4 linked regions of the Arabidopsis thaliana genome follow. The protein of the gene in region 1 purifies or fractionates together with the protein of each later gene. This does not show direct contact. Each region holds a gene or a part of one and is shown in the gene's direction. Other genes may lie near its edges.

Region 1 (7,740 bases):
GATTCACACGCGTTTTGCGGTAACCAAACAACGTTCCCGTGACACGTGTTCCTCCATGAACGTGATTCTCGTGGAGTCTTCCTCCTCCTCCTACGGGAAATTTACACATCGGAGACATGATCGGAAGTGATCTGAACACAGACCTAACACGTCGGAAGAGTTTCGTCGATTTGGAGCCGGTTGTTTTGTTTCTTCCAGATGGTTGCTCCAACGTGATCTCCGGTCGTACCGTCGCCGTTGACTTCTTCGACTTTGGACTCCCGAGAGGCGACATTGTTGTTGGAGTCATCATTCTTGGCGTTAACGGTGGTGTTGCCATTACAAAAAAACGTTAAGAGTTTTCTCAGACTGAAATGTTTTGTTTGTTAAGAGTAAAGACCAAATCTTTATACAATCTTTAGAAACTAATGGAACGCACGTTTGAGTTCATATTATATCCCTATTTAATATGCAAACGTGAGTCAGAGACTTTCTTCTTAGATAATTTATATTTGAGTTCGCCGGTTCTAGTTTATGGTCGGGTGATATTGAAATTGACTTGTGTTTGTTTTGGTATTTGATGTTTATGTTTGCTGGTATAAGACTAATTCCTCTGCTTTGCTGTTTCCCAAGGTCGTTTCCCACTTAGATATGTTTCTGTGTCTCCTCTTATCAACAAATTAACAAAAGGTCTGAAGAATATCTTTTTTGATACATTGAAACAACAGATTCTACATGGGGTAATGTACATTCACAGGTTCACTCGGTAAATAACATATAGCATAAGAAATTGGAAATCCAGAAGCAGAGTCAGAGTCTAATGAAACAGATCAAAACTGAAGCTTGGAAAAAGTCAAGCCAAGCACACATACACACACACATATATATTATATACACATATGGTATTACCAAATATGATGAAACTCTCTTATCCTTGAACAGAAGAAAGTCTCTTCGGTGGAGGCATATTTCTCATGTTGGATTCCATCTTGTTGAATGTGAGATTGGCCACGGCTCTGTCGATTGAGTTTGGTTTCAAATTCAGTTTCCCTACTGACAAAAACGTCATAGATGGTGATGAGTCATTAGAACTATTGAAGGTGATGAGTCCATTTTTAAGCAAAGTATGATTAATGAAAAAAGCTCTCTTTACCTGGTTCTATCCTCAAGGAACTCATCCGAGTTGGAGTCTGACTTCTGTTGTGAGTTCTTTGCAAGCCGGTAAAAGGTATCGCGGAAGCACTTGCGGGTATCATCAGTCAACTATAAGAAGAAGAATGTAAAAGTCTGTTACAAGACAGATCAAATCTCAAAGAAGATTATATAGGCTAGATCAAATCACCACACTCACCATTTCTGTAGCCCTTTGTAGATCCTGCAACACAACTTCTTCAGCAGATGCCTCCTCCTTGTTCTCCTCACACAGATTCATAGGTGCATCCTCCTCCTTAACCAAAAGAATGTTCCAAGATCATTAACATCTTTACTATTATCTCACTTGGAACAACAATAGTCAAACACATAACCGAGAGATCTCAGACCAAAATCCAAAACCAGACTAATCCCAAGAGTCTACTGAATTCAACAAGATTTGTCAATCACTTAGTTTCTCTTTTCTACTATTTAACATTGCTAGTATATCAAAAGAGTCGATTCTTACCATAAGTGGCATATCTTGACAAGTTTCCCAGTTGTAATGGAACAAAGGGACTTCCCTGCCATCAGTTGTGTCGAGATAGGAGGAACTGGAGCTGTTGTTATTATCCGACTCCTTGAAAGAAAGAAAATTCTCATTCCCTGGAACATCCTCCAAAATGGAACTTCTTCAGTCAAAACCGGAAACAAAAAGAGAGAGACACAAAAATATAAACATCGAAAAACTATATAGATTTTTTTTTTTTTTTATGTGATATATAAACAATTTCTTACAAGAACATGTCATCCATGTGTTGGATTTCATCAAAATCATGAAGCGAACGGTCAAAACAACCACTAGCCTTTAACTTCTTAGTTTCTTCTTCTACTTGTTCACTAGTTCCCATATCCATCTCCATCTGACTGTATAATCCTCCACTGAAACCATTGTGAATCACATCATAATCAAAACATTTCTCAGCAGCTTCTGAAGAGTTCATGCTCCATCCAGTACCCCACATATCAGGAGAAGGGTACGAATCTGATGTCTCTTGATAGTTAGGCACAACAAGATCCTCTAAATTCCTCCTCGAATAACGATCCATGAATGATACTTTAACCTGCTAACAAGTCACTCACTATATTCAGCAACCAACAGGAGAAAAACATTTGAATTCTTAAGAATAAAATAATCAAAAGAAGTCACCTTTATGATCAGATCTAAATCCAAATCCAAAAGATTATGAGTCTATCTTCTTCTATCTTCTGTAGATTTGTGAGTGCGAAGGAGGAAAGAGAGAGAAGACAAAGAAGCAAGTTGAAGAGAGGAAGTGGAGAGCGCGTGAGTTTGAACTTTAGTTAGTGGCTTAGAATTCACAAACGAGATTTGTGGCTTAGATTACTCCTCCATCTAAAGCAACTCTTTCATTGGTCCACGTGTTAAACATATCTTTTTCTGTGTGAGGTCGGCACTTGAATTAAAATTAATTAAATCTTGCAAGACACAACTGGCCAACTTGTACGTTTTTGTAGTTCTTAAAAGTTGTCTGTTTACGGGTAGACGACAAAAGGATTTTAAGTTACGGATATACCCTCCAGATCAGGCAGTGGTTAGCGGCTCAGGTTTGGTGACGACACGTCACATGTTCACTCGATTTGGTGTAGACACGTGTCCTGTAGGTATAGGGAGGTGATGACACGTGACAGACTGTTTTGCGGTGGAGTGGGACCCATGGTCTCATGGGGATGCAGTGGATAATGTTCCTCTCAGGCTCTCACTCTCTTAAGCAAAACTTTTAAAACTGGAAATTGGTTTAGGTCCTTTATAGGAGGTATTTTGAAAATCCACCCAGCTGCCGACGATCTTATAGGTAAAGTGGTTAATCCAGTTTTGCTTGTTACTTCGTAAGGTTAATATATGATATAGTGGGCCTGACAAAAAATCATATGGGCTTGACAAAATCTATGTTTATATCCAGTTCGGTCCAAAATTCGAAAACATAAACAATGTGGAAAGATGTGTTGGCTAATCTGATACCATGTCAAAAAAACATAGAAGTTCTTGTGAGGTTTCTTGTTTATTCATGTGGAGGCAATTGCCCTTGTATACAAGGCTTGTGAAAGAAGTAAAGAAGATAAGTTTAGGAAGAAGGTGGCCCATGAGGGCCCAATATTCATATCATTAGTGAAAAGCATAGGAATTTCAACTTGTAATATTAAAATCAGTGATAATTGAATAACATTAATCTTTTTAAGATTTCCAAATTAATTCAAATCTTCATTAAGAAATAAGATTTAGGAATACTAAAAAGCTAAATAATTATCTAATTACTTAAAATCAGTAATGAAAATTAATATTATACTCCCATAGTATATTTTCTTCACTATGAATGAAGTTGAGACTTCAATTTTGACAAATTCGGTGTTCTGGAATAACAAAAGAAGTCAAAGAAAGAAAATTAGGGAGATAGAGTAAATTAAAGTTGAGACAAATCAGCTTCATTTTGTTTTTCCCAAATAATAATATACAGATAGATCTTTCGGCCCCGGCGCATTCTCTAGATTTGCTCATCACCACCTCGAAATTTCTGCTCGAAGTTCTCCAAAACAGTTCATTCATCTACATTTACCAGATCATATTCGTATTCAGTCGTCTCTAAATTCTCACTAAATCAATCCTTCCTTTGGATAATTCCGGTGTTTGCGAGGAATCTGATAAAATGATTGGTTAGTTCAGTTAAACTCTACTTCTAAAACTAAATCTGCATTCAAATGTAGTCTCTAGTTCTCGTACTTGAAGTAGACTTGATTCGATTTGATTTACTGATTCGTGGCTTTTGATTTCACAGGTCAATTGGAAATCTGAGAATCCGTGTGACTATTATTGCAGCTGGATCGAGATGGAAGAGTATGTTTCTTTCTTCTTCTTCTTTTGATTTTGTTTTTGGGCTACTGTACAATCTTCTTCGTTTTATTGCTATTGCATTTTGATCGATGTGCTGTTGTATTTTCTTGCGTGTATAGAGAAAATGCTGTCGAGATTCTTCAGAGATATCGCCGGGATAGGCGGAAGCTATTGGATTTTATGTTGGCTGGTAGCTTAATCAAGAAAGTTATAATGCCTCCTGGTGCTGTGACTCTTGACGATGTTGATTTAGATCAAGTTAGTGTTGATTATGTCATTAACTGTGCTAAGAAAGGTACTACTAGCTTCTTTCTTCTTTTGTTTTCGTGATCGTTCTGTTTTTTTTCTTTCAGATTAATAGTGTGTATTGTTTCAATTTAGGTGGAATGCTCGAACTCGCTGAAGCGATTCGGGACTATCATGATCACATTGGATTGCCTTATATGGTGTGTACATGTAACATATTGCTTTCTTAATTGATACTTCTAACTTTTGTTAAGCATTACTAGGAGTTGCTTGCAACAGTTTCTAGGATAATGCCTGTTCATTTCTGGAAAACCTTTTGCTATTAACATATAACGGACTCCTTCTCCATCGACTTATATAAGTCATTTTCTAAATGCTTGAGTCTTATGTATATTTCAGAACAGCGTGGGTACTGCTGATGAATTCTTTTTGGCTACAATTCCTGAATCTTCTGGCTCACCTCCAAAAAGGGCCCCACCGCCTATTCCTGTATTAATTTCCTCATCTTCTCCCATGGTTACAAATCCCGAGTGGTGTGAGTCACCATCTGCGCCACCATTGATGCGATCAGAATCTTTTGATTCACCAAAAGCTCAAGAGCTGACTGTTGATGACATTGATGATTTTGAAGACGATGATGATCTTGATGAAGTTGGTAATTTCAGGATCTCTAGGCGGACTGCAAATGATGCTGCTGATCTTGTGCCAAGACTGCCCTCCTTTGCGACTGGTAATATTTTTGGAAAATGCATATCTTTAAGAAGTAAATTTGATAAAGGAATACTATTGTTACTGTCATTCCATTGAATAACCTCATAAAATTATTCAGATCATACGTGCATTTGTAGACTTGGTAATTTATTATTTATGGACAGGGCATTTTAGTTCGAGAAACTAAAGGAGTACTTGTAAAATTATCATTGCTTATACCATCCAGTAGCCAGAGCTAACTACGACTGGACCATAAGTAGTACACCCACACCTATGAAAAGTCAAGGCCCTGCTGATTTATTAAGAAAGTTGCAATGTATTTCTGTTTCAGGTATTACCGATGATGATCTCCGTGAAACTGCATTTGAAATACTTTTGGCTTGCGCTGGAGCTTCAGGGTATACAGAATATTGTCTTGCTTACTTTTTACTTTCTTTGTTCAGTTGAGGTGTGCTTATAATATTAGTCACATCCTTACTGATATAATTTCTCTTTCATATGTTTTCAACATGTATTTTTTCATCATGTAGAGGTCTCATAGTACCATCAAAAGAGAAAAAGAAGGAGAAAAGCAGGTCTAGGCTGATTAAGAAGCTTGGTCGCAAAAGTGAGAGTGTTTCTCAATCTCAGAGCTCATCAGGATTGGTTTCTCTTTTAGAAATGATGCGGGGCCAAATGGAGGTCACTCCCTCTCTCTTTCTCTCTTACTGTTACTTTTTTATCTCTGTTGTTGAGGCATATATGGTTTGTCAGAGCATGGAATTACATATTTACTACTCTATCTTTTCTTGTAAAGTTGTTCTTATGTAATTACCATGTTAAGATGCCCTCATTTTTGTATGCCAAATGTCTCTGCTTCATTGATTTTTTAGTATGCGCTTGGACATTTTTCGCTTCGTTTGTCAGTTTACTCTTTCCATATGTCAATGTATTGTATTATGTTTTTGGCGCTGTTGCCTGCACTACCATATGATTCTCAGTTAGCCTACTTTATGTGTTTGTTCTGTATACGACAATTAATATTTTCGGCTCATACAGATTTCTGAGGCCATGGACATCAGAACAAGACAAGGGTTGCTTAATGCCCTAGCGGGAAAAGTTGGCAAAAGAATGGACAGCCTCCTGGTGCCTTTAGAATTGCTATGTTGCGTGTCTCGTACCGAGTTCTCTGACAAGAAAGCATACTTACGCTGGCAGAAAAGGCAGGTAAAGACCACCTTTTCACATCTGAGTGTAATATTGAGTACTTTCTTTTAGTATTTGGTCCTATCATCTATTAATGTTTTGGTATTTCAGTTAAACATGTTAGCAGAGGGGCTCATTAACAATCCAGTTGTTGGATTTGGAGAATCAGGTCGTAAGGCAACTGACCTGAAGAGTCTTCTGCTAAGGATTGAAGAATCAGAGGTATTTTTTCCACCTTATTATGTTTATGTGATCTATTATATTGTGTAGACATCAGATATCGGAAGTGGGTATTTTTAGGTCTTTTCTTTAAGGGTGTGGCATAATATCATCCAAAGGTTAAGATGGGTTATTCTTTGTGGAAAAAAATGGCTTAGCGTCTTTTTTTTCTGGCAGTTGTCTCTATTGGCTTTTATCCCATAATAACTGAATTTTCTTACATTTAGTGATTTCATGATATGTTTTTTGACTTCTCTTTTACTTTCCTTTCTATTTATAGTCTCTTCCATCCTCAGCTGGAGAAGTGCAAAGAGCAGAATGTTTAAAATCTCTTAGAGAAGTTGCTATCTCACTTGCTGAGAGACCGGCTCGTGGTGATTTGACGGGTGAAGTCTGCCATTGGGCTGATGGCTATCATTTGAATGTCAGACTATATGAAAAATTGCTTCTCTGTGTCTTTGACATATTGAATGATGGGAAGCTCACAGAGGTCTGTGAATTCTGTCAAAATTTTATTGAATACATTTTCCAGAAGCAATATTCTTGGTCATTTAAAAATCATATTGATTTGAAAGGTTTTTGTTCTTTTTATCAGCTGACACTCTTTGAGCTGCTTAGATTCCTCTGTTTTGTTTTTCCATCATATTATAATTCCCATATACATTACCAGAAAGAAATTCTTGACAAGTTGCCTTACAGTTTATTGTTTCTGTTACTATGAAATGTTCATAAAGTAACCTTTGTTATTTTATTTTAGGAAGTTGAAGAAATTCTTGAGCTTTTGAAGTCAACATGGCGTGTTCTCGGAATTACAGAGACCATCCATTACACATGCTATGCTTGGGTTTTGTTTCGACAGGTAATGATGGATTAGATATTTTCTTTATTGTAACGATATTGATGCTTCAGCTGGGAAGTTTTACGGTAGCTTATGAGTGTGTTGTGTGGTTGCAGTATGTCATTACTAGTGAACGAGGACTTCTGCGACATGCTATTCAGCAGCTGAAGAAGATCCCACTAAAAGAACAACGAGGGCCTCAAGAGCGTTTACACTTGAAAACCTTGAAGTGTAGGGTTGATAATGAAGAGATATCCTTCCTGGAGTCCTTCTTGTCACCTATACGGAGTTGGGCCGATAAGCAGCTGGGCGACTACCATCTGCATTTTGCCGAGGTTTTATCTAAAACAAATGCGTTCAGACACATTAGTTGCTTTCAATTCAATTACAGTAATTCGTATATAGGATTAGCCATCTTCTTTTACTTTGTCTAGTGAGCTGTACTCTTGCTTTATGTGATATTGTGTTTTTTACATCAAATGGACACATTAGTCTCAGTAGTGTCCAGAAAATTGACGCATTG
Region 2 (8,994 bases), on another chromosome or scaffold:
GGTTTACAGATCGGTTTCCACGGATTATGAGTCGTTTTCGAAGTCAGAAAGGTTTGATAGTTTGCTAAGAATAAAGCTCATGAATAGGGTCATTGCTGATAACAGATTTGGGAGATCAGTGATTGGATCTTACTTACTAGAGATATGGCAGTCTCTGTTTCAAGCAGAGGCATTACAGGAGCTGTGAATGATTAGAAGCATGATTCTGGATTTCTACTGTTCTTGGACCAGAGATTTTTTTGTAGACTTTGATTGGTAAATTTTGTGTAAAGTTTTTTGTTCTCTAGAAATAAAAACAATGTAGGTTCTTACACACGCTTCATACGAATGCTAAGAATTTTCGCATATTGTATCCATCAACTGTATCTGCAAGAAATGTGGAAACCGTGTGTAACACCGTGTTACTAACACGAATCCAATTTGTGGCATATATAGATATATTAATTTTAAAATACCGGTCATGTATGAAGCAAATATCTATATTAAACAGTCTCAAAGTCTCATAAGCTGAGAGAACGAAACAATAACAGACAAGAAAATGGTACATATCAAAACGAATGACAGAATGAAAAACTAAAAAGAACTTGGTAAGGACATATATAAAGAGCAGAAATTGTAAGCATATCTGTTCTGAATATTACTAGAAGATGAGTACTCTATCATTTGAGAAAATTTGTGATTTGAGAGACATTCATTCATCAAGTTACTGAATTTTCACAGGTGATCGAGAGAGGAAACCGATAATTCTTCGCCGCTATAACACTTCTGCAGCTTCCAATTTGTAGGCAACACACTGTTTCTGCTATTACATAGAAAATATAACTCATCAGTGACTCAAGACATGTGAGTTTTCAGACAGCAATGCAGGAGGCTATTTTACTCGCAGCTAAATTGACAGTACCATTGATGTTTATAGACTCTTGCTACAGAAATAATGAAGGAAATGCTTCCATGTATGGTTGTTGTCCATGAACTAAGAATCACATATAGATAATAGACTCATGAAACAAAAAGAGAGATTATGCATCCGACGATGTTTTCACATAAAACAGAGAAGTTACCTGAGTTTATCTACTGGATCCTGTGACCACATCAAACAAGCCGCAGCAACTAAACCATGAGGTTCTTTTCGCAATTCCATGTGTTGGTATCAAGATGGGAGCCTGAGAGAAAACTGATGTTAGTCTTTTAGGTAACATGAGCAACATAAAAGATGAACCAAATAGGTAAACAATAAAGACCTCTTCCTCATGAGAAATGACAACATTAGACTCTATGTTGCCTTCAGGAACACCGTTGGATTCTGGAAGAGGCGAAGTTTTTCCCTCATTTTCTTTCACATCAGAGTCAGTAGCACCTGAAGACGTCTGCCTAATCTCATCAAATGCAAGAGCAACTTCAGCAGCAATCTCAGTTGCTTTAGGCAAAGAATTATCATCAGCCTCGTTTGAGACTATTGTATCAACATGCGAGATCTCAACCAGTTCTCCAGATTCGGGATCATTCGGCACAGCTGAATCCATCAAACCAGTATTCTCTACAATCGCATTAGCAGTAAATCCCATAAACGGAGCATCTGCAGCAATAGGCACAGGTTGAATTGGCACAGAACTCACAGTAATAACTTCAGAAACATCATCACCAGTCTTCTTATCATCATCTATCTTCTTGACTTCCCGTGACTCATCATCCGAGCTGGAGCTGCTGCTGCTGCTGCTACTACTACTGCTGCTACTAGAGCTCTTGTCATGATCATGGCTTGAATCAGTGATCTCTATGCGTTCATTAACACCATCATCGCTCTCCTTGTCACCTTGGCTTCTCGAATCTAGCACATCAGTTTACAAATCCAATCAATATCACAAACAGAGTGACTTAACACTGACTATTCAAGTCAAATCTAACTATTGTACCATCCAGAGAATGAAACATATACTAGTAAACAAAATAGGCACAGCTACTACTAATGAAACCAAAGCATCAGAGATAAACAAAACTCAGCAAATGATAAACAACTTCAATCATAATCATGAATCTGATAAACAAAACTATCCTTTAGTCCAAAACAGAAAACTAGATTCAACCCATATGGATTACGAAGCAGAACATGCTAAAATTAACCGAAAGATCAAATTTTTACAGCTTGAGATCCCAAAATTGTGAGCCTAAAACCCCAATCAAAACACAAAGAAGAGTAAAAAAGATACCCATTTGTTTAGATCAATGAGCACAAAACCATAAAAATCAAAACTTGAAGAAACTATACAGAGAACAAAGTTAAAAAAAAACTCAGATTTAAAGCGAAGCAAATATATAAACAAACAAGAAAGGTGGCCTAAACGTGTGTGGTGTGAGTGAATAATTGAGAGATACAGAGAGACAACAACAAGAAGAAAAAGGCAAAAAGAAGAAAGTAGTAGTGAGATTATGGGGTGTTAAAAGAATTAAAAACCATGGTTGTTGGATTTGAGGTTGATTAGAGTAGAAGATCCTTGTTGTTGTTGTTCTTCCTCTTGCTTTTTCTTGGCAGCTTTCCTTTTCTTAGCACCTGAAGGCATGATTTAGGCTAGGCTCCTTTGGTGGGGATCGATCTCAAAAACAGCTATGGCGGATCGTGGCTTTTGTCTCTTTGATTTCTCTCTGTTAAAATATAATGGCGTCTTCTTTTCTGTCGAGCCGTAAATGTTTCAAAACTCAAATTGGTGGAAGTGGGAAAGTTTTAGATTCTTCTTATACATACATGTGAAAGGGTTTCTGAGTTTTATTGCTTTTTTTTAACTGTAAAATCACTAATTGATCTTCTTGTAATTTTGTTTCCGCGTTTGTTTCGTTTATTTTCCGCGTTTGGTTTACTAATTTAGCTATTAACGAAATAGTATAATGGATAGAGATTATTTTTGTAAAGTTTGTTCAAACAAAATCATCTTTACAACTTGATTGTGTTATAGATAAATTAAAACAAAAAAATGTTGTCATTCAGTACTTTAGATACCAATATACATTTGTCTTTTGGTTGACTATAATTTGATTTAAGTTTACATCAACAATAGAACCCTGTTTTAAGAACATGGAATTTAATGAAATATCTCACTGAAATTTTAAGTCGGTAGAGTAGGAATCTATACTATACTGAGAAAGGCAACGTTAATAATAAAATAAAAGAAAAAGTATATAGGTTGTCTTTTCAGATTATAATTATGTAATGGCAGTTAGGACAAAATGATATGGGAGGAGTGGGGACAAATAACAAGTGGTTATGAGTTGTCCATGTCAGTTTTTTTGTTAATACCTATACTTTTAAGTTTTAATTAACTTAATCTCAGTTTATGCCAAACGGATTTAGCTAATTTTAATTAATTACTCAATAATAATCGTAAGTCGTAACGTAAGGTTTTTAGTAGAAAAGCCTCGTCTGCTTCCAAATAATTCAATCGCGAACGCTCCTTTTAATCAGACCGGACCGGACCGGTTTGGTTCAATCAATCGAATCGACCCGACCCGCTTAGATCGATGTGTGTGCTCTGTGATTGACTGATTTTCTCAGAGGGATAATCAGTGACACATCGAGTCGAAGAAGAACATACATTTCTACTGAATCAGATCTGATCTGCTTTGTCAGTTTTTAAACTGTTCTGATCTAATTGAGATTTCTCAATTCCACTCAAAATCCTTTAAAGCTTGTCTCTTTTTGGTATCTCTGAATCAATTTGGGGAAATCAAGAGGAGAAGTGACAATGGATGCGTTTAGAAGACAAGCGAGTAAGCTTAGAGACCAAGTCGCAAAGCAGCAACTGGTAATTCCTTTTCATCGCCGCAACTAGTTTCACTGTTACCGATTCAGCGAAACGAAGCTCAATTTAGGTTCTTTGTTGCTAATTTGGATTAAAAAAAATGGAAACTTTTTGATGGGTTTTGATTTGTATATTATTGAGTATTATAGAGTTACACAATCTTGGTTGTGATGATGTGTTGATTGATGTGTGGTAATGGGGAATGTAGGCTGTGATAAAGCAATTCAGTGGGACTGGTTATGAAAGCTCAGATGTAATGGTGATTGATGAGCTTGAAATGCAAAGGCATCATCAACTCGATAAACTTTACCGCTCTACTCGTTCTGCAAAGGTTTGACTGATATTGACCTAATGGCATTGTCACATTTTATATGAGTTCATTGTTGGGGGAGAAGGTTTCAGTATGATTCATCGTAGCACAATACCCTCAAACATATGTTATTGTCACTTTCAGGAGTTCCAGAGAGATATTGTTAAAGCAGCTGAGGCATTTACCACGATCGGGCTCAGACACATTGAAGCAGGTACTTAACTACTTATGAGTGTCTGTTTTGTGTTACCTATCATTGAATTAAGTTATACTATGATACTTTTGTGAGTTTTCTTTTAATATTCTTTAAAATTTCAGGAACCAAGTTGTCTGAAGACTGTTGTAGGTATGGGAACGAAAATAGTCAGAACATTGATGAGAATATACTGGCCAAGGCTGCAGCTATATACGGTGATGCACGGAAACATGTAGACAAAGAACAAGAAGACTTCAACAAGCTTTTGGCTTCTCAGGTTCGGCTTGGATTATCTGTGTTTAATCTTAGTATGTTTACGTAGAATTAAATCTAGTAGATAACAAGAGAAAACCTTTTTGTTAAATGCCGTTAAGGTTTTGGATCCTCTAAGAGCTATGGTTGCCGGTTCTCCTCTTGAAGATGCTCGTCATCTTGCTCAACGTTACAGCCGCATGAGACAAGAAGCAGAGACACATGTAATCATCTTAAGATCTTAGTTCTATGATGATGTTGGCTATTTTATTTTGTAATGTAAGTTAAAACTTAAAAGCAAAACAGGCAACGGAAGTCTCTAGACGGCAAGCACGTGTAAGAGAAGCTCCGATTCCAGAAAACGTAGCAAAGCTTCAACTAGCGGAAGCAAAAATGCAAGAGCTAAAAGCAAATATGGCAGTCCTTGGTAAAGAAGCAACTGCTGCATTAGCCGCTGTTGAATCACAGCAACATAGACTCACTTTCCAGAGGCTTGTGGCTATGGTATGTTTTACATACACACACACTGGATTTTTTTGTCATATGCAGATTACTATTTACCTTATCGCTTATTCTAGGTTGAAGGGGAGAAGAATTATCACTTAAGAATAGCAGCCATCCTCAGTGACATTGAAGCCGAGGTTAGTATTGGATGAATCTTTCCCACATCTTTTTCTCATCAAAGGCTCACACTTTTGGTCTTACCGCGTAGATGGTAACCGAGAAACAACACAAAGAATCTGCTCCTCCTGCGATTCCAACAGAGAACGGCTCAGAGAAAACGTCATACTTTCTTGCTGAAGTAAGTTTTATCTTCCGTAATATTATCATCGCATATCTCACAGAAAGAAAAAGACTCTCCATAAGCAACATATATGTTCTCTCGCAGGTGATTCATCCATTTTCCGCTGCTTCAGAGAAAGAGTTAGACTTGGACAAAGGAGATTACATCGTTGTCCGAAAGGTTCACATCTTCTTACTAGTATCAAAGAACTAACTTCTGTAGTGAGAGAGCATGAAACTTAACTCTCTGTGTGCTGTTTTTCTTTCGTATTCTCAGGTGAGCCAAACCGGTTGGGCTGAAGGAGAATGCAAAGGCAAAGCTGGTTGGTTTCCTATGGCTTACATTGAGAAGCGACAGAGACTTCCCACTACCAACTTTGCTGCTGAAGTTTACTGAGTCTCTTCTTCAAAGATTTCATTTTTTCTTACATTTGTGTCTGAAAACTTTGTTTCAGTTATGTCCTGTCCCCAACAAACTACTACTCTTGTTCATATTTGTTGATCCAAAATAGAGTTTACCTCCAAAAAATGTTTTATTGATTCTTCTTATTGAAGAGTGTTCTTAATGAAGATAACAAGAAAAGGAACAAATGAAACGTTTCTAACATTTGGAACGCACTTTGTTAGAAAGCAAACCCAAAGAATTCAATTAGTGTGGTACGAGGCTTTTAAAGCTCGAAGTAAAAGGATCTGTTTGTCTCAAATTTATGAGTTCCAATGGACAAAATTAACGAATCAATTCCAAAAATTCTCTCTTTCATTCCAACCAAAAACAAAAAGTCTCTTAATTTGCACTCATGTGCAGAGTGACAAGAGAAGCATAAGCACCACCTGAAATCTTCATCAGTGTCTCATGCCTTCCTTTCTCAGCAATAACTCCGTTTTTCACAACCGCGATCACGTCTGCGTTCTTAATCGTCGTAAGCCGATGAGCCACAACTACAGTGGTTCGATTAACCATAACTCGATCAAGTGCATCCTGAACAACACGCTCAGATTCTGCGTCCAATGCACTCGTCGCTTCATCAAGCAACAAAATCTTAGGATCTTTCAAAATCGCGCGCGCAATCGCAATCCTCTGTTTCTGACCGCCCGATAGCTGAACACCGCGTTCTCCAACCGACGTATCGTAACCCTGAGGCAATGAGCTGATGAAGTTATGTGCGTTTGCGGCTTTTGCTGCTGCTATAATCTCTTCCTCTGTGGCTCCACCGGTTTTACCATAAGCTATGTTTGATCTGATCGTCTCGTTGAACAAAATCGGTTCTTGACTAACCAAACCCATCTGTTGCCTTAACCAACTCAATTTAAATGTCTGAATCTCCACCTGATCGATCAAAATCTTGCCTGAATCTGGATTATAAAACCTCTCAATCATGCTTATCACCGTTGATTTCCCGCTCCCGCTCTCTCCAACAAGTGCAACGGTCTGAAAAAACAACCAATAACCAATATTAACCGGTGAACCAGATTTAACCGGTAATTAAAAAGCTCTGTTTTTTACCTTTCCAGAAGGGATAGTCAAGCACAAATCTCTGAAAATCTGAACGTCCGGTCGCATTGGGTATCGGAAACTAACATGTCGGAATTCGATATCACCATTAACGTTTTGTAACGTTGTACCTTCATCAGAGCTAGAATCAATCTTCGGTGTACTATCGAGAATATCGAAAATCGAAGCTGCAGAGTCTTTAGCTTTGTTTGAATCAGGTGCCATAGCACTCGTTTGAGAAACTCCAATCGCCATAATCGTCAATGCAAAGAAAACCTGTAAAAAATACACTCTCAAGATCACTAAACCGAACCAGATCTTAATTAAACCGAGAAATGTTTCTCATCTTACCTTGAAGACTTCACCAAATGTGGCTTTACCAATTTGAATCAACCCGGCACCACTGACGAAACATACACAATTGATGCAATAGAGGAAAAAGAATGAGAAACCGAAACCAGCACCGCTCAAAAGACCTAACCGGACACCGTTCTTCTTCGGTCCATCGCATTTTTGTTGGTATAAATCCATCACTTTCTCCTCTGCACAGAAAGATGCAACCGTTCTTATGCTGCTCACTGCATCATTCGCCACTTGACTCGCTTCTTCATACATCGCCTAAACCAGAAAAAAAATCGATCAGTAAACCCGAAATCGCGACTAAACCGGGATATATTCAAAAAAATGTTGTAACCACTATATTAAAACCTTAGCATCAGCGCTGAAACCAGTCAAGAACTTGGTTTGAGCATATCCTTGGATGACAATAAATGGTGAGAGAGCAAGAACTATGAGAGCTAGGATCCAATTCGCTGTAAACGCTATTATCAACCCAGTGGTTACAGTAGCTATGTTTTGTACTATTAACGCCAATGCATCTCCTACCAAACTCCTCACTGTTGAAGCATCCGTGGAACATTCTCGCTCCAATCGCACCGGGGGTAACAAAACGCAAATAAATATTAGAATCAAAACATACAAAATACGGCGGTTAATTATATATATAAAGTTATAGTACCTGGAATTGGCTGTGTCATCGAACCAACTGATTTCTTGATGAACCACTTTATCAAAACACATTGATCGGATGCGTTTAATCAATTTCCCTCCAGCGATTCCAAAGAAATAGTTTTGGACCGGGATCATGACGAAATTGGTTAAACCGAGAGCGATATAAATCAGCGCCCAAAAATGTGAATCTTTCTTCAGTATCTTTGCTGGTTCATAGAACATATTGATTGAGCTGGAAAGCAATAAACCGAAGATGGGAAACACCGTTCCATGAACCATTGCAGCAATTGAACCGAGTACCAAAACCGGAATTTCCGGTTTGTTAAGGTGAGCAAGTCGTTTTAATGACACTTTCTTGTGCCTCACGTTGTTTTCCTCGTCTTCCATCTCGTCGGTTTGGTTGACGTTAACTCCCGGAAAGAACATATTGGAAGCGAGAGAGAAAGAATGGCGGCTGCTCGATGAATTCCGGCTAACGGATCTTCTCATCGCAGATGATAGCCTAAGACTTCCTGACCTCTCGACGTCTAAGCTTGTTTCAGGTCTCTCTGATTCGGTAGCTTCTTCTTTTGATCCTTCTTGAAGACGAACAAGCTGTGAATAAGCTCCCTCGGGATCTTGAATCATCTCATCGTGAGTTCCTGTAGAATATTTACAATTGATTGCTTATACAGTTATAGACTTATAGTTCATAATATCGTTCTCGAAATATGTAACTTTGAGCACACGGTAACTTTATACCTTTCTCGACAATTTTTCCTTGGTGGACAACAGCGATTACGTCTGCAGTTCTTATTGTGGTCAACCGGTGAGCGACCACAACGGTAGTCCGGTTTGACATTAAGTTCACGAGCGCATCTTGAACAATCCGTTCGGATTCTGCGTCTAAGGCGCTTGTTGCTTCATCTAAAAGCAATATTTTAGGGTTTTTCAAAATCGCCCTAGCGATTGCTAGTCTCTGTTTCTGCCCGCCAGACATTTGTGTCCCGTGCTCTCCTACCATTGTATCCAAACCCTACAAACAGATAATTTCATTTTAAAAGAAAATGCAACGAATACAAATTCTTCTAATAGTAGTTTCTGTATTGAAATTTGAAGGTACCTGTGGGAGTTTATCAATGAATTTAGCCGCATTAGCGAGCTCAATCGCAGTTCGAAT
Region 3 (3,889 bases), on another chromosome or scaffold:
GAAGAAGGAGCGGAGGATTATTTCAACGGCAAAGACGAAAACAATCAGATCTGGTCAAAAACGATGAACTCATCTGTGGCTACCATAGTTACTCGGTTTCTCCAATTCGATTTCTGCACAAACTAATTTCTGATCTTTTTTTTTTATTAATTTGTTTTTCTTTCTTAGTGGATTTGTTTTTTGGTCACAAGTGATGTCTTTAAAAAACAAGGAAAAAAAACTAATAAAGAAGACAAGTGAAAAGTGCGTGATCACTGTATCAAATGACAACTTCACCCTTAATGTTAGTAGCAGCTAACCGGGGTAATATTGGTATTTACTAGAGTGGTATTTTTTACAATTTTAGGTTACAGTATTTGGTTATATTAATTTTTCTATTTTGAAACATTAGCTAAAACATGATTATTCTTTATTTATTCACATCACATTGAAAAGTAAATAAATTGTAGTTGGAAATAATATCATTTCTTCATATCAATATGAATATTATTATCAATATTGATAATTATATTTTTATTTTTAACATTTTTATAACATCTTCAAACACATACATTATTTCAAATACCATTAGATATTATATTATTATTTTAAACATTTATTATTATTTCATATCATGCTTTTTTATAGGTGACTTAAATATGGACTTTGTTTCCAATAATATAGTTATATCAAATTTTATTTTTTAAACATTTAATATCATTTCTTATCATGCTTTCATTGCTTTTGTTTATAGTTTGAATGAACGAAAAGAAAAAACGATAATCATGTTTTATTTGTAAAGTTTGTTGTGAGTAGTATTGCAAATAAATTTAATATTTTATTCGGCCGGCAAACGTTACAAATAAAAAATAATTATTATTTCCATTTTATTTGTACTATGTACAACAAATAAATAAATTATGGTAAGAGATAATATTAAATGTTTTTATAATTTTCATGTTTTATTTGTATTATTTTGTGAGTGAATCAAAGATGAACTTTTGTTTTGGTAGGTAGTCATAGATGAACTTTATTTCTGATTTTTTTTTTTTTTTTGTCAACAGATTTTATTTAGAGCTCAAAAGAGCCAATTGTGAGGAAAATTATTTATAAAAGTGACATGAAGCGGTTCAATATGAATTTTTCGTGCCAATTTGTCCGCCTTTACATTTGCAGTTCGAGAAATTAAAGATAAAGAAAACTTTGTGAATTCCTCCTTATATCGGTCTTTAGTTCCTCCAAATAAGTTGAAAACGCTGGTCATTCGGTTGGAGAAGACACCATCTTCACCAAGTCTGAATAGTCTGTAAAAAATGCTACTTCTTGGTTGTCGGCACCAATCATACACTTCATCGACCAAAGTAGTGCTTCGACTTCTGTATGGAGTGGATAAAGACTTCTACGAAGATTAGCAGCTCCCATGGTTGGCGAGTCTCCATTTGATGATCTGCAAAACCACCCTAATCCAGAAAACTTATCGCTTCCTTTCCAAGATCCGTCCACAAAACAACGCAAACCAGAATAAATATTATCGTGTGATATATTCTGAACCCGAATTTGTTTTTTCGATCCCATGGAACCGTTATTTTTGGTATTGAGCTCAAATTGAGCTAACTGCCATAATTCTGCCTCTTTTTCTGTTAAACATAATACGTCTAACTTTATTTCCGATATTCTTAGCTCTAGAAAATTTTCATTCTTAAAACATTTAATATTATCTTGACCATATATTTTTTAGTTATGTTGTCTGAATAAGATGAATAAACAATAATTATGTCTCATTTATAAATTATAACTCTCTAGTGAGTCAAATACCGACTTTATTTCCAATATACTATAGTAATTTTTCCTTTTATTTACCTTTTTAATGTAGTGTTAATAAAACCAATAAAGTATATAATCATATTATTTTTGTAACTGGTGACACAAAGCTGGATTTTATTTGCAATATTATAAATATGGCGAAATAGGAAACGAATTGTAAGTAGGTAACATTATAAAAGGGTGAAAAATAATAACATAAAATAAAATTGTGAAAAATAATAACATAAAAATGAAGAAATGATTTTATTACTAAATAAATTTGGTAACAAATAAAGTTTTAGTTTCCGTTTACTCCAATGTTACTATTTTTTTTCCCCCGACCATTTTTACACACAGCCAATCAGAGCCTTGTTTCATCGTCTCTTGTCGAGGCGATAATATTTAGATCTGCTCACCATTTCTCCGCCATCGCCGACGGAAGAAGAAAGATGGGAGACAACAACCCTAACCGATCAGAAGCAGAACGTCTTCTCGGAATCGCGGAGAAGCTTCTCGAGTCACGAGATCTAAACGGTTCAAAAGAGTTTGCAATCTTAGCTCAAGAGACAGAGCCACTCCTCGAAGGCACCGATCAAATCCTCGCCGTCGTCGATGTCTTACTCTCATCAGCACCAGAGAATCGTATCAAAAACCAACCAAACTGGTACAAAATCCTTCAGATCGAAGATCTAACTGAATCATCAACAGACAACGATCTAATCAAGAAACAATACCGTCGTCTTGCTCTTCTTCTCCACCCTGACAAAAACCGTTTCCCTTTCGCCGATCAAGCTTTCAGATTCGTGCTTGATGCATGGGAAGTTCTATCAACACCTACGAAGAAATCTCAATTCGATGGAGATTTGAATCTCATCTTCACTAAAGTAAATCTCAACACTCAGAAATCGAAGAAGAAAACAACAACGAATGAGAAGATGTCTACGTTTTGGACGGCGTGTCCGTACTGTTACAGTCTTCATGAGTATCCTAGGGTTTATCAAGAGTATTGTATTAGATGTCAAAACTGTCAAAGAGCGTTTCACGCTGCGAGTATTCCTCAGTTGCCTCCGTTGATACCTGGTAAAGATGAGTATTATTGTTGTTGGGGTTTTTTTCCGATGGGGTTTGTTGGTGGTAAAGGAGGAGAAGCTGCCATTGCTAATGGAGTAGATGCAGCTAAGTTCCCTAATTGGATGCCTCCGGTTTTCTCATCCGGCGGCGTTGCAGCTCCTCCAAGTGGTAATGGTGTTAGTTTTGATGGATGGTCAGGTGGTGCGGCGAAGAGAGATAATGAGGCTGTGAGGAGTAATAATGGTGTTGGAGTTAATTCAGATGGAACACCGAAGAAGAGAGGAAGAGGAAGGCCGAAGAAGAATCCGGTTTAGTGATCTCTTTTCAAACTCCGGTCATGATTGTTAAAATTATGGAGACAAAATTTTAAAGGCAAGTTTTTTTTAAGGCAAGGAAGTTTAGGATCAGCGTTTGTTGTCTTAGTGTAAACTTTATTATGCATTTGTTGTTATTACCGTTGTGTAATTGTGTTATCTTGATTTACTTTGAAACATTTTCCTCATTACATAATTTGGCAATTCGCTCTTTTCCACTTCACTTGTTGGATGGATTAAACACTTTAGATTCTCTGTAAATAAAATTGAGGAAAAATCAAGATTGGAGAGCAAAGTAGTGTCAAAGATATAACTCTACTAAAAGCAGCAACACCTACAAAGTTTAGTTCTTCAAGTGATGATCAAAAGTATTTTCTTTTACGAGTCTATAAGTGAAAGCGAAGGACTGTTGATAAGACTTCTACTTCCTGACGATATTGAGATCGATGTGTACATACGCAAGCGAAGCCACAAATACTAAGAAGAAAGCCGATACAAGCATGAATGGTTCCGCTAGCATGTATATTGGTTTGAATGTATAGTACACCTGCAAAATCGTCACACATGTTAAGCAATTTTGTAACTTATGGAACAAAATGAGCCTATTGCTAATAACACTAATACACTCAGATTTTTAGGGTTCTTCTAATACTACTACACATAGCAGAAAGAAAGGAATTGGCTCATTATGGTGATATAGTTAAGTCTGTGGAAATTGCTAG
Region 4 (8,697 bases), on another chromosome or scaffold:
ATCTTCGTCTTCCGTGTTGGATACGGCAGAGGAAGAGAGGCTAATCGGCTTCACCGTAGAATGTAAGGAGATTCCGGTGATGACGCATTTCTTCCCTTCGGTAGTTTCGCTAAATTTTCTGTCAAACTGGTGGTAAGTCTTGCCGGAAAATCCCATAAGTTATCGTATGAAGTTAAGAGAGAAACAAGAATTTTTTTTGATGTAAATGAAGGAAATGGAGAATGAAAGAGTAAAAGATTAGGTTGTTGTTAAAGTAAGACTTGTTTGGAACGAGAGAGAATGTGAAGAGAATGAAACATGTGATTCAGAGAAGGGGATTGGTCTTATAGTCAACAGTGACTTCAAGACAATCGATCGTTCGATGTCGATTCAGTTCAGTTATTTTTTCCACGAATTTTTTTTTTCGAAAATTCGTATCTTAGTATTTATTTCCTTGGTTACATTAAAAGAACGTAACGAAGAGATAGTGACATTGAGTGTACATTGTATCTTTTATTAAATGTGAGAGAATATCCTTTTTTGTTTCTTTTCTCAAGCATAAAGAATGTAATCATGGTATTTAAAGCATATGTTTAATGTGAAAGAAATACAGTATTATGTACCCTAAATGGAACAACTTATTTTGATATACGTTCTTAAGTTATTTTTTGATACATAATTTAGTGGTGATGCCAATAGTTTTTGTTTTAGTCATACAAACTGAAAGGTGCTATAGTTTTTAAAGGGTGGTGCAAAAGATATCGATCGTAGTCAACTAAAAAGTGCCCTAACTAATGATTACGATAATCCGTTTTATATTGGTCGAAGTTAGGTGATTAAAATATGGTTTCTCTACAAGTATTTTGTTTGGACACTGCAAATAAAACCTTCATGCACATAAATTCTGGAACCATCTTCATTTTTTTCATAATTAATCTCTATCATATATAGTAGTATAGACCCCGAAGTAACTTAAATACCAATTATGTATTATAAATACGGATTGATAACATTTCATATCGAAACATTTCATACATTTTATATCTGTAATGTTACAACCAGTCTAAAGCCAAGGATTCTAGAAACTAGAAACAAATTTTACTAAAATTAATTGAGGGAAAACTCAAGAATGTGTGTGTGATCATTGAAGAAATGAAGAATGTGTGTTAGAGTGAGTGAATATTCAAAAGACTCAAATAGGTTTTTAATGAACAATAGGGAACCCGAGGAAACGCGTGACTCTAAGATATATGAATTTATTTTGCACTTATTACTTTTGATTAATTTTTATATTCTAACCCTTTTTTATATACTATTTTTTTCAGTGCAAGTAATGAATGAAGTAACGAGATGAGAGTCTAGTTTCAAAGTTTTGAATCTTTTTGGTCAATGTCGTCTCTATTTGTTGACCATATTATACGTTTGACTTTAACCCCATTTTTCTTTAATCTCATTCTTCTTCTTTGCTTCAATGGTTGACGAATTCTTACCGTAGAAGTTGCATCTAAATATACCAAAGATTAATACTGCGAAAATATGATAAAGAAGATTTTTTTTTTTTGTACTCTCTAGAAATTTGTAAACGATATTATTAGTGTTTGATTAAAGACTCCAATTTTTAACATAATGTCTATATCCACATAATGAATTTGTGTCTCTACTATATGTAGTGTTCCCGTCATATATGCATTTTTGCGATAGTCAATCGGATCTTTGTATTGCGGTTAATTGATCTGGTCTTTCTTGAGCGTACAAAATAAATAGAATTGTACGTATTATTAGAGATGGTTACATTTGGTTTACATTATTAGTTAAAGTTAACCAATAATGTAAACCAATAAAGTTAACCAATAATGTAAACCAAATGTAACTATCTCTAATACGTATGTTGACTATGATGTACTTCAAGACAAGTTCATCATCACTTAACGTAACTAACACTATATTAGTTAAGTTCAAGACTTATTGCCCATGATTCATTTGTAAACTATGAAGTAACATATCTCTGATTTTTTCCTCTTATGTTTGATAAATTAGTCATTATAATTAGTGTCTTGCCAAAAAGTACACTTCTATCTTATTAGCATTCTACATTACAAACTATTAATTTCACTACGTATAGCGGTATAGGGAGAAGATCAATAAGGCGATCACAATATTAGTTAAGTTCCGAGTCTTGCATTACCATTGTCCTATGAATCACAGAACAAGAGGACGCATATATATATAGTATTTATAAAAGACTAAGATAGTCACAGAACAAGAGGACGCATATATAATTGACAAATACTCAAAACATGTGAAAAGATAAGGGCTATTACGTCTTCATTAAGATCCCATAATCTTTATGATGAGAACTTAAGAGCCAAACTAGCTATGTAACAAAATATCAAGTTTGAAAGTAATAAACTGCTTGAATAAGCTTCAAGTTCACTACATGGTTTAGAAAGGTTTAAAATCTATTACTTTCAAACGCTTTTATTGTGTACCAATCAATCCAACAAAGTATGCAATCGTACTAATCAATCCAACAAAGTATACACTCACACCGGTAACATCAAAAATTCAAAAATTCAAAATTTCATGTTACCAATCAATCCAACAAAATATACAATCCCTGAGACCGAGTTATAATTTGTTGGAATGATTGGTACCAGTGAAATTGTGTTGTCGTGTGAACATCAACACATAGGAGGTAATATACGTAAATATGCTAGCAATCAAGCTAAGTATACAAAACACTTCATGTTGCAGTGTTCTATTGAAATTTTATATATCGAACTAGAATACTATCATGGAGAATGATCAAATGTTGCATATCTTCATATCCACGAAAAATGAGTACACAAACATTCGATCATACCCCATGACAGTTTTCTAGTTTATACTTGATAGTCCTCACGATTTCATGGTGGTGACACTACACAAACCCTAGATTCCCCTAAAGTTTTTGTGAAAAACGCATATGTTCGATTTTAGGTTTTACTTCTATCCTTGATTCATTACAAACCTATTTTTATACTAATTCGTCGTTAACCTAATAATTTTAACCTACGAAACCCAACCTATATGGGCCTGACTTTATGTAATGATCCAATGGGCCTTTCTTCTTCAATGATGACTTTCTTCATTGACTCTCCTTCTACTTTCGATGGTATTAAATTTGACGGAAAAAGTAAAACGATACCGTCTGGGTGAAAGGCAGAGCTCTTTGCTTCTGAATATTATTATTTTCTTAAATTCTTCCGTTTTTTTTTTTAATCCAACCACAAGGATCGATAACGAAATCATCAGATCGCCAGAAAAAAAAAAAAAATTGCGAAATGGAGAATCTGAGCTGCAGATCTGCGTCAATCTCCATCTAGATGTTGTTGCTACTTCTTCCTCTATAGAACCATAATTTCATCAGATCTCGCTGATTAATCATCCCCATTTGGATCTGATCGAAACTCTTAGGGAAGAACATGGCAGGAGCTGCCTCCGCGCTGTTTCTGCTTGATATCAAGGGACGCGTTCTCGTCTGGCGTGATTATCGTGGCGATGTCTCCGCTGCTCAAGCCGAGCGATTCTTCACTAAGCTCATCGAGAAAGAGGTTGTTCTGATCTTCCTCTTATCGCTAATTGGTCTTTGTTTATTGCTTGGTTACTGTAGAATTTTCAGAGAAACATAGAGTTAGCGAACGAACTTGTAGATTTGTGTTTGAAAGATTCGTCAATTGGAATTGAAACATTTCGAAGATAATGGATTCGTGTCCATTTTCATCTGCACTGGAAATGAATTTTGAAGATAATGGATTCGTATCAGTCTTTGTGATCTGATGCCGCTGAAATTTTTTGGAAGTAATGAACAAGTTTGATCATTGGTTAAATGTTTTGGATTAGAATTTGATTTGAATCTGTACTTTTGAAGCATTCTGGTTTAAATCAGAGTAATCATCGTTTTGTTTAATTGTTCAGGGTGATTCACAGTCAAATGATCCAGTTGCTTACGATAATGGGGTGACTTATATGTTTGTACAACATAGTAATGTATACTTGATGATAGCATCCAGGCAGAATTGTAATGCTGCCAGTCTTCTCTTCTTTCTTCACCGCGTTGTCGATGTAAGTATGGCTGGTCAATTCTTTAGTTTTTCTCTTAAGGTTCCATCTTTTTCCTGGATATTTGATGTAATGGCAATGGTATCTGTTATCTGGTTATAGGTTTTCAAGCATTACTTCGAGGAGTTAGAAGAGGAATCATTGAGGGATAACTTTGTGGTAGTGGTATGTTAAGCTTCTGTCATCGCTCTTTTAGTACTATTTCGCAATATATTTTTCTATTACTTGGGCAATCAAAAAGATCCTTAAAATTTTGGAAAAGTATTTGTCATTGTTAGATGCTGAAATTGATTTTTTGGTGCTGGCAGTATGAGCTACTTGACGAGATGATGGACTTTGGTTACCCTCAGTATACCGAAGCAAGAATTCTCAGTGAATTCATCAAGACTGATGCATATAGAATGGAAGTTACACAGAGACCTCCAATGGCTGTGACGAATGCTGTCTCCTGGAGGAGTGAGGGAATACAGTACAAGAAGAATGAAGTGAGTGCCATTGTTTTCGCAAGATAGGAATATGTTTCTGATGTTTCGGTTTGCAAATAATGACAACCTGCTTCTTTTTCCAGGTTTTCTTGGATGTTATTGAGAATGTAAATATTCTTGTCAACAGTAATGGGCAAATTGTCAGGTCTGATGTTGTTGGAGCGCTGAAGATGCGAACTTACTTGACGTATGTCAACACATCAAATTTACGATATAGTTCCTAATCAGCCAAAGCATGTTAAATCACGTCCCTTTTTGACTATTTTGCTCTTTGATCCATTCTATTGCAGTGGAATGCCAGAGTGTAAGTTAGGACTGAATGATAGAGTATTGCTGGAAGCGCAGGGACGAGCAACTAAGGGAAAAGCCATTGATTTGGAGGACATCAAATTTCATCAGTACGTCTTTAAGTTTTTATTATATTGAAACTTGGAAAGTCTTCACTGATCTTAACCCTTCTATTTTCTTTTTGTTCAAAAAGATTATATACTTGAGTTTTATGTATTCTCTTCTTCAACAACCATTTATTTAATGCAGGTGTGTTCGATTGGCCCGTTTTGAAAACGATAGGACGATATCTTTCATACCACCTGATGGGGCTTTTGATCTGATGACATATAGACTCAGCACTCAGGTTTGACATGTGGGATATAGCATCTACTGGAATTGTTCCACGTCTTCAACAAGTAAATATCATGATTTGTTTCTTTTATGTTCAGGTAAAGCCACTTATATGGGTGGAAGCACAAATAGAAAGTCATTCAAGAAGTCGTGTTGAGATGCTCATAAAAGCTAGAAGTCAGTTCAAGGAACGAAGGTAAATATATTCTATGGTATTTGTGCCACTTTCCTTTTCTGTCTTACTGTCATGCAAAGATCCTGATTGATCAGATTCTTTAAACCTTTGATCACGAACATTCTTTTTGTAGCACCGCAACGAACGTTGAGATTGAGTTGCCTGTACCAACCGATGCATCTAACCCCACCGTTAGGACATCTCTAGGGTCTGCCTCTTATGCTCCTGAAAAAGATGCGTTAGTCTGGAAAATCAAATCTTTCCCGGGGAACAAGGTATAACACTAACAAGGTTCAATAAACTCTTAAATTCAGTTGAAACAGTCAGCAATGTAGACTATGTAGTATCAATGCTAACCTTCAGAAAACCAATATAGGAGTACATGTTAAGGGCAGAGTTCCATCTTCCAAGTATCACTGCAGAGGAAGCAACTCCTGAGCGAAAGGCTCCTATCCGTGTCAAATTTGAGATCCCTTATTTCACTGTTTCAGGGATTCAGGTAAGCTTGTGCTTAATAATAAATGGTTACTGTCTCTTCCACAATGTCATATATATAATATATATGTTCTTTGGTGTGTAGGTTCGGTACCTAAAGATTATTGAGAAGAGTGGGTACCAAGCACTTCCATGGGTGAGATACATAACCATGGCTGGTGAGTACGAACTAAGACTCGTGTAATGCACATTTAGTTTCATCGTCTATGTCAATTGTGATTCCCACATCCCTCAAGGAATTGCCTGAATCAAAGAAGCAAAACGAAACAGGACAAAAGTAGAGGGAAAAGAAAACGTTTTGAAACATTTTAGCTGATCAAATTTTCCTTTAATTTGTTTTAGAAGCCATATTCTTGTGAATTTGTCTTTATGGTGATTCTATTTTATTTTACATGAGGCTCTCTGTAACCTTTCACGACATGGTTCATTATTTTCCTTTAGACTGCTACATTTCTGTCTATGTGTTCGTTCTGCGATCAAAATTGTTAAACGTTGAGGTTTTGGTTTTGTTTTTTGGGGCATTCGTCTATGTTTACATAGGTTTCTCTCGAGTTATGATCAAAATGAAACTACATAAACAAATTATGCTTCAATAGAGTGAGGTGAGAGAGCCTTACAATAGAGAGAACGTATATTTTGGTGTTTCTCATATTGTTTAACTGATATAGTATGGGCCGAAATGAAATAATCGTCAGGCCCATTAAAAAGCCCATAATCACCATACTTTCTCCTCCAATTCTGTTTCGAGCTTGGGAAGTGACAGTGAATTAGGGTTTTACTCAAAAAACCTTCTCGTTGTCGTTGTTTACTGCTCCGACGAGAAAATGGCGATGCGACATTTGAGCCGATCGAGAGACGTTACAAAGAGATCGACAAAGAAGTACATCGAAGAACCTCTGTACAATCGCCTCTTCAAAGATGGTGGTACAGAGGTCAAAGTTCGACAGCAGCTTAATCAGTTCCTCAAAGGCACTAAACACGTCTTCAAATGGGAGGTCGGCGATACGATCAAGAAACTCCGAAATCGCGGCCTCTATTACCCAGCTCTCAAGGTTTCATAAATCCAAATTGCATTTTCGATTCTCTAGGATTAGCTTCACAATAAGCATTTGCTTCAAATCTGTTGAATACATATAGAAATGTAGATTCTTAAGTGGTATTTTGATGCTCATTATGAACAATTTAGTAATTGTTGAATAATTTTTTCACTGTGTGATGATTGTGTCTTTAGATTTCATATTGTGGAGTTGTTTTTTTGGTTTGTAGCTATCTGAAGTTATGGAAGAGAGAGGTATGAACAAGACAGTGAGTGATCAAGCAATCCATCTTGATCTTGTTGCTAAAGCTCGTGAAATTACTGCTGGGGAGAATTATTTTGTTGATCTTCCGGAAACATCTAAGACGGAACTCACGTATGGGTCTCTTTTGAACTGTTACTGCAAGGAGTTGTTGACAGAGAAAGCGGAAGGTTTGCTGAATAAGATGAAAGAGCTCAACATTACTCCTAGTTCCATGTCTTATAACAGCCTCATGACTCTTTACACCAAGACAGGTGAGACTGAGAAAGTTCCGGCGATGATTCAAGAATTGAAGGCGGAGAATGTGATGCCGGATTCGTACACTTATAATGTCTGGATGAGGGCTTTGGCTGCTACTAATGATATTTCTGGTGTTGAGAGAGTCATTGAAGAGATGAATAGAGATGGTAGAGTTGCTCCGGATTGGACTACGTATAGCAATATGGCATCGATATATGTTGATGCTGGACTGTCTCAGAAAGCTGAGAAGGCTCTTCAGGAACTGGAGATGAAAAACACGCAACGGGATTTTACGGCATATCAGTTTCTTATTACTTTGTATGGACGTCTGGGGAAGCTGACTGAAGTTTACAGAATTTGGCGTTCGTTGAGGCTGGCTATTCCGAAAACCTCAAATGTAGCTTATCTAAACATGATACAAGTGCTGGTCAAGTTGAATGATTTACCTGGTGCAGAGACATTGTTCAAGGAATGGCAAGCTAACTGTTCTACTTATGACATCAGGATTGTGAATGTGTTGATTGGAGCTTATGCTCAAGAGGGTCTAATCCAGAAAGCAAATGAGCTCAAGGAGAAAGCTCCCAGAAGAGGTGGAAAGCTCAATGCTAAAACATGGGAGATCTTCATGGATTACTATGTAAAGAGCGGTGATATGGCTCGAGCACTCGAATGCATGTCAAAGGCAGTCTCCATCGGCAAAGGAGATGGTGGCAAGTGGCTACCGTCACCTGAAACAGTCAGAGCTTTGATGAGCTATTTCGAGCAAAAGAAAGATGTTAATGGAGCTGAGAATTTGTTGGAGATTTTAAAGAATGGAACAGACAACATAGGCGCAGAAATATTTGAACCATTGATAAGAACATATGCAGCAGCGGGAAAGAGTCACCCTGCTATGCGACGGCGCCTGAAGATGGAAAACGTGGAGGTTAATGAAGCGACAAAGAAGCTACTCGATGAAGTATCTCAGGATGTGTGAGGTCTGTTCCATCTCTTTCTCCTTCATTATTCACTTCAGACAAAGACATCATTAGTCGTGATAGGGTCACTTGCATTCTCACAGCTCTGTCTCTTATTGGTAATAAAAAAATAGGCTCTGAATCGGCAAAATCAATTGTATGGGTCTGTTTTACTTTCACCGTAGACTGTTTGTTCATGTTTTTGTGAATTGTTTTTGGTTTAGCTTGGATTTACAGTTGAGACAGCTCTCACAATGTAATCCCTTTTTTTGGAGATCTTATTTTGGTTCAAGACAGAAACAGTGTCAAGAATACGATATAATGCTCATCATTGTTAATGAGGAACA

What was found.
Region 2: the proteins of AT5G06970 (region 1) and AT4G18060 fractionate together in Arabidopsis thaliana (co-fractionation; one large-scale study listed by BioGRID). This does not show direct contact.
Region 3: the proteins of AT5G06970 (region 1) and AT2G01710 fractionate together in Arabidopsis thaliana (co-fractionation; one large-scale study listed by BioGRID). This does not show direct contact.
Region 4: the proteins of AT5G06970 (region 1) and HAP13 fractionate together in Arabidopsis thaliana (co-fractionation; one large-scale study listed by BioGRID). This does not show direct contact.

Annotation. Positions count from the first base shown.
Region 1 is NC_003076.8:2,162,278-2,170,017, reverse strand, and holds the start of AT5G06970 (plant/protein (DUF810)), read left to right. Parts: upstream 1-3,506; 5' UTR 3,507-3,840; intron 3,841-3,962; 5' UTR 3,963-4,013; coding exon 4,014-4,021; intron 4,022-4,137; coding exon 4,138-4,313; intron 4,314-4,399; coding exon 4,400-4,464; intron 4,465-4,663; coding exon 4,664-4,994; intron 4,995-5,306; coding exon 5,307-5,373; intron 5,374-5,505; coding exon 5,506-5,656; intron 5,657-6,013; coding exon 6,014-6,181; intron 6,182-6,271; coding exon 6,272-6,382; intron 6,383-6,659; coding exon 6,660-6,869; intron 6,870-7,136; coding exon 7,137-7,238; intron 7,239-7,333; coding exon 7,334-7,552; intron 7,553-7,740. Other genes in the region: AT5G06990 (MIZU-KUSSEI-like protein (Protein of unknown function, DUF617)), read right to left, coding at 1-319; AT5G06980 (uncharacterized protein), read right to left, coding at 908-1,070, 1,133-1,242, 1,331-1,426, 1,640-1,799, 1,909-2,219. UniProt on the Arabidopsis thaliana protein: Controls the tethering of the proton ATPase AHA1 to the plasma membrane. Is essential for stomatal opening in response to low concentration of carbon dioxide and light.
Region 2 is NC_003075.7:10,024,403-10,033,396, reverse strand, and holds AT4G18060 (SH3 domain-containing protein), read left to right. Parts: upstream 1-3,363; 5' UTR 3,364-3,734; coding exon 3,735-3,794; intron 3,795-3,999; coding exon 4,000-4,122; intron 4,123-4,245; coding exon 4,246-4,315; intron 4,316-4,419; coding exon 4,420-4,574; intron 4,575-4,671; coding exon 4,672-4,773; intron 4,774-4,855; coding exon 4,856-5,053; intron 5,054-5,127; coding exon 5,128-5,190; intron 5,191-5,261; coding exon 5,262-5,351; intron 5,352-5,438; coding exon 5,439-5,513; intron 5,514-5,609; coding exon 5,610-5,729; 3' UTR 5,730-6,116; downstream 6,117-8,994. Other genes in the region: AT4G18080 (uncharacterized protein), read left to right, coding at 1-187; AT4G18070 (suppressor), read right to left, coding at 1,068-1,163, 1,242-1,828, 2,453-2,558; ABCB9 (P-glycoprotein 9), read right to left, coding at 6,117-6,761, 6,837-7,100, 7,176-7,442, 7,533-7,716, 7,843-8,476, 8,577-8,850, 8,938-8,994. UniProt on the Arabidopsis thaliana protein: May be involved in the recruitment of DRP2A to the accessory protein complex and in the negative regulation of its GTPase activity.
Region 3 is NC_003071.7:313,605-317,493, forward strand, and holds AT2G01710 (Chaperone DnaJ-domain superfamily protein), read left to right. Parts: upstream 1-2,043; 5' UTR 2,044-2,099; coding exon 2,100-3,167; 3' UTR 3,168-3,389; downstream 3,390-3,889. Other genes in the region: AT2G01720 (Ribophorin I), read right to left, coding at 3,589-3,714.
Region 4 is NC_003070.9:22,366,632-22,375,328, reverse strand, and holds HAP13 (Clathrin adaptor complexes medium subunit family protein), read left to right. Parts: upstream 1-3,105; 5' UTR 3,106-3,443; coding exon 3,444-3,572; intron 3,573-3,936; coding exon 3,937-4,083; intron 4,084-4,182; coding exon 4,183-4,245; intron 4,246-4,388; coding exon 4,389-4,565; intron 4,566-4,648; coding exon 4,649-4,752; intron 4,753-4,855; coding exon 4,856-4,963; intron 4,964-5,102; coding exon 5,103-5,199; intron 5,200-5,284; coding exon 5,285-5,382; intron 5,383-5,494; coding exon 5,495-5,636; intron 5,637-5,737; coding exon 5,738-5,860; intron 5,861-5,941; coding exon 5,942-6,040; 3' UTR 6,041-6,376; downstream 6,377-8,697. Other genes in the region: AT1G60783 (cyclin-dependent kinase inhibitor SMR2-like protein), read right to left, coding at 1-156; AT1G60770 (Tetratricopeptide repeat (TPR)-like superfamily protein), read left to right, coding at 6,681-6,908, 7,123-8,370. UniProt on the Arabidopsis thaliana protein: Subunit of clathrin-associated adaptor protein complex 1 that plays a role in protein sorting at the trans-Golgi network and early endosomes (TGN/EE).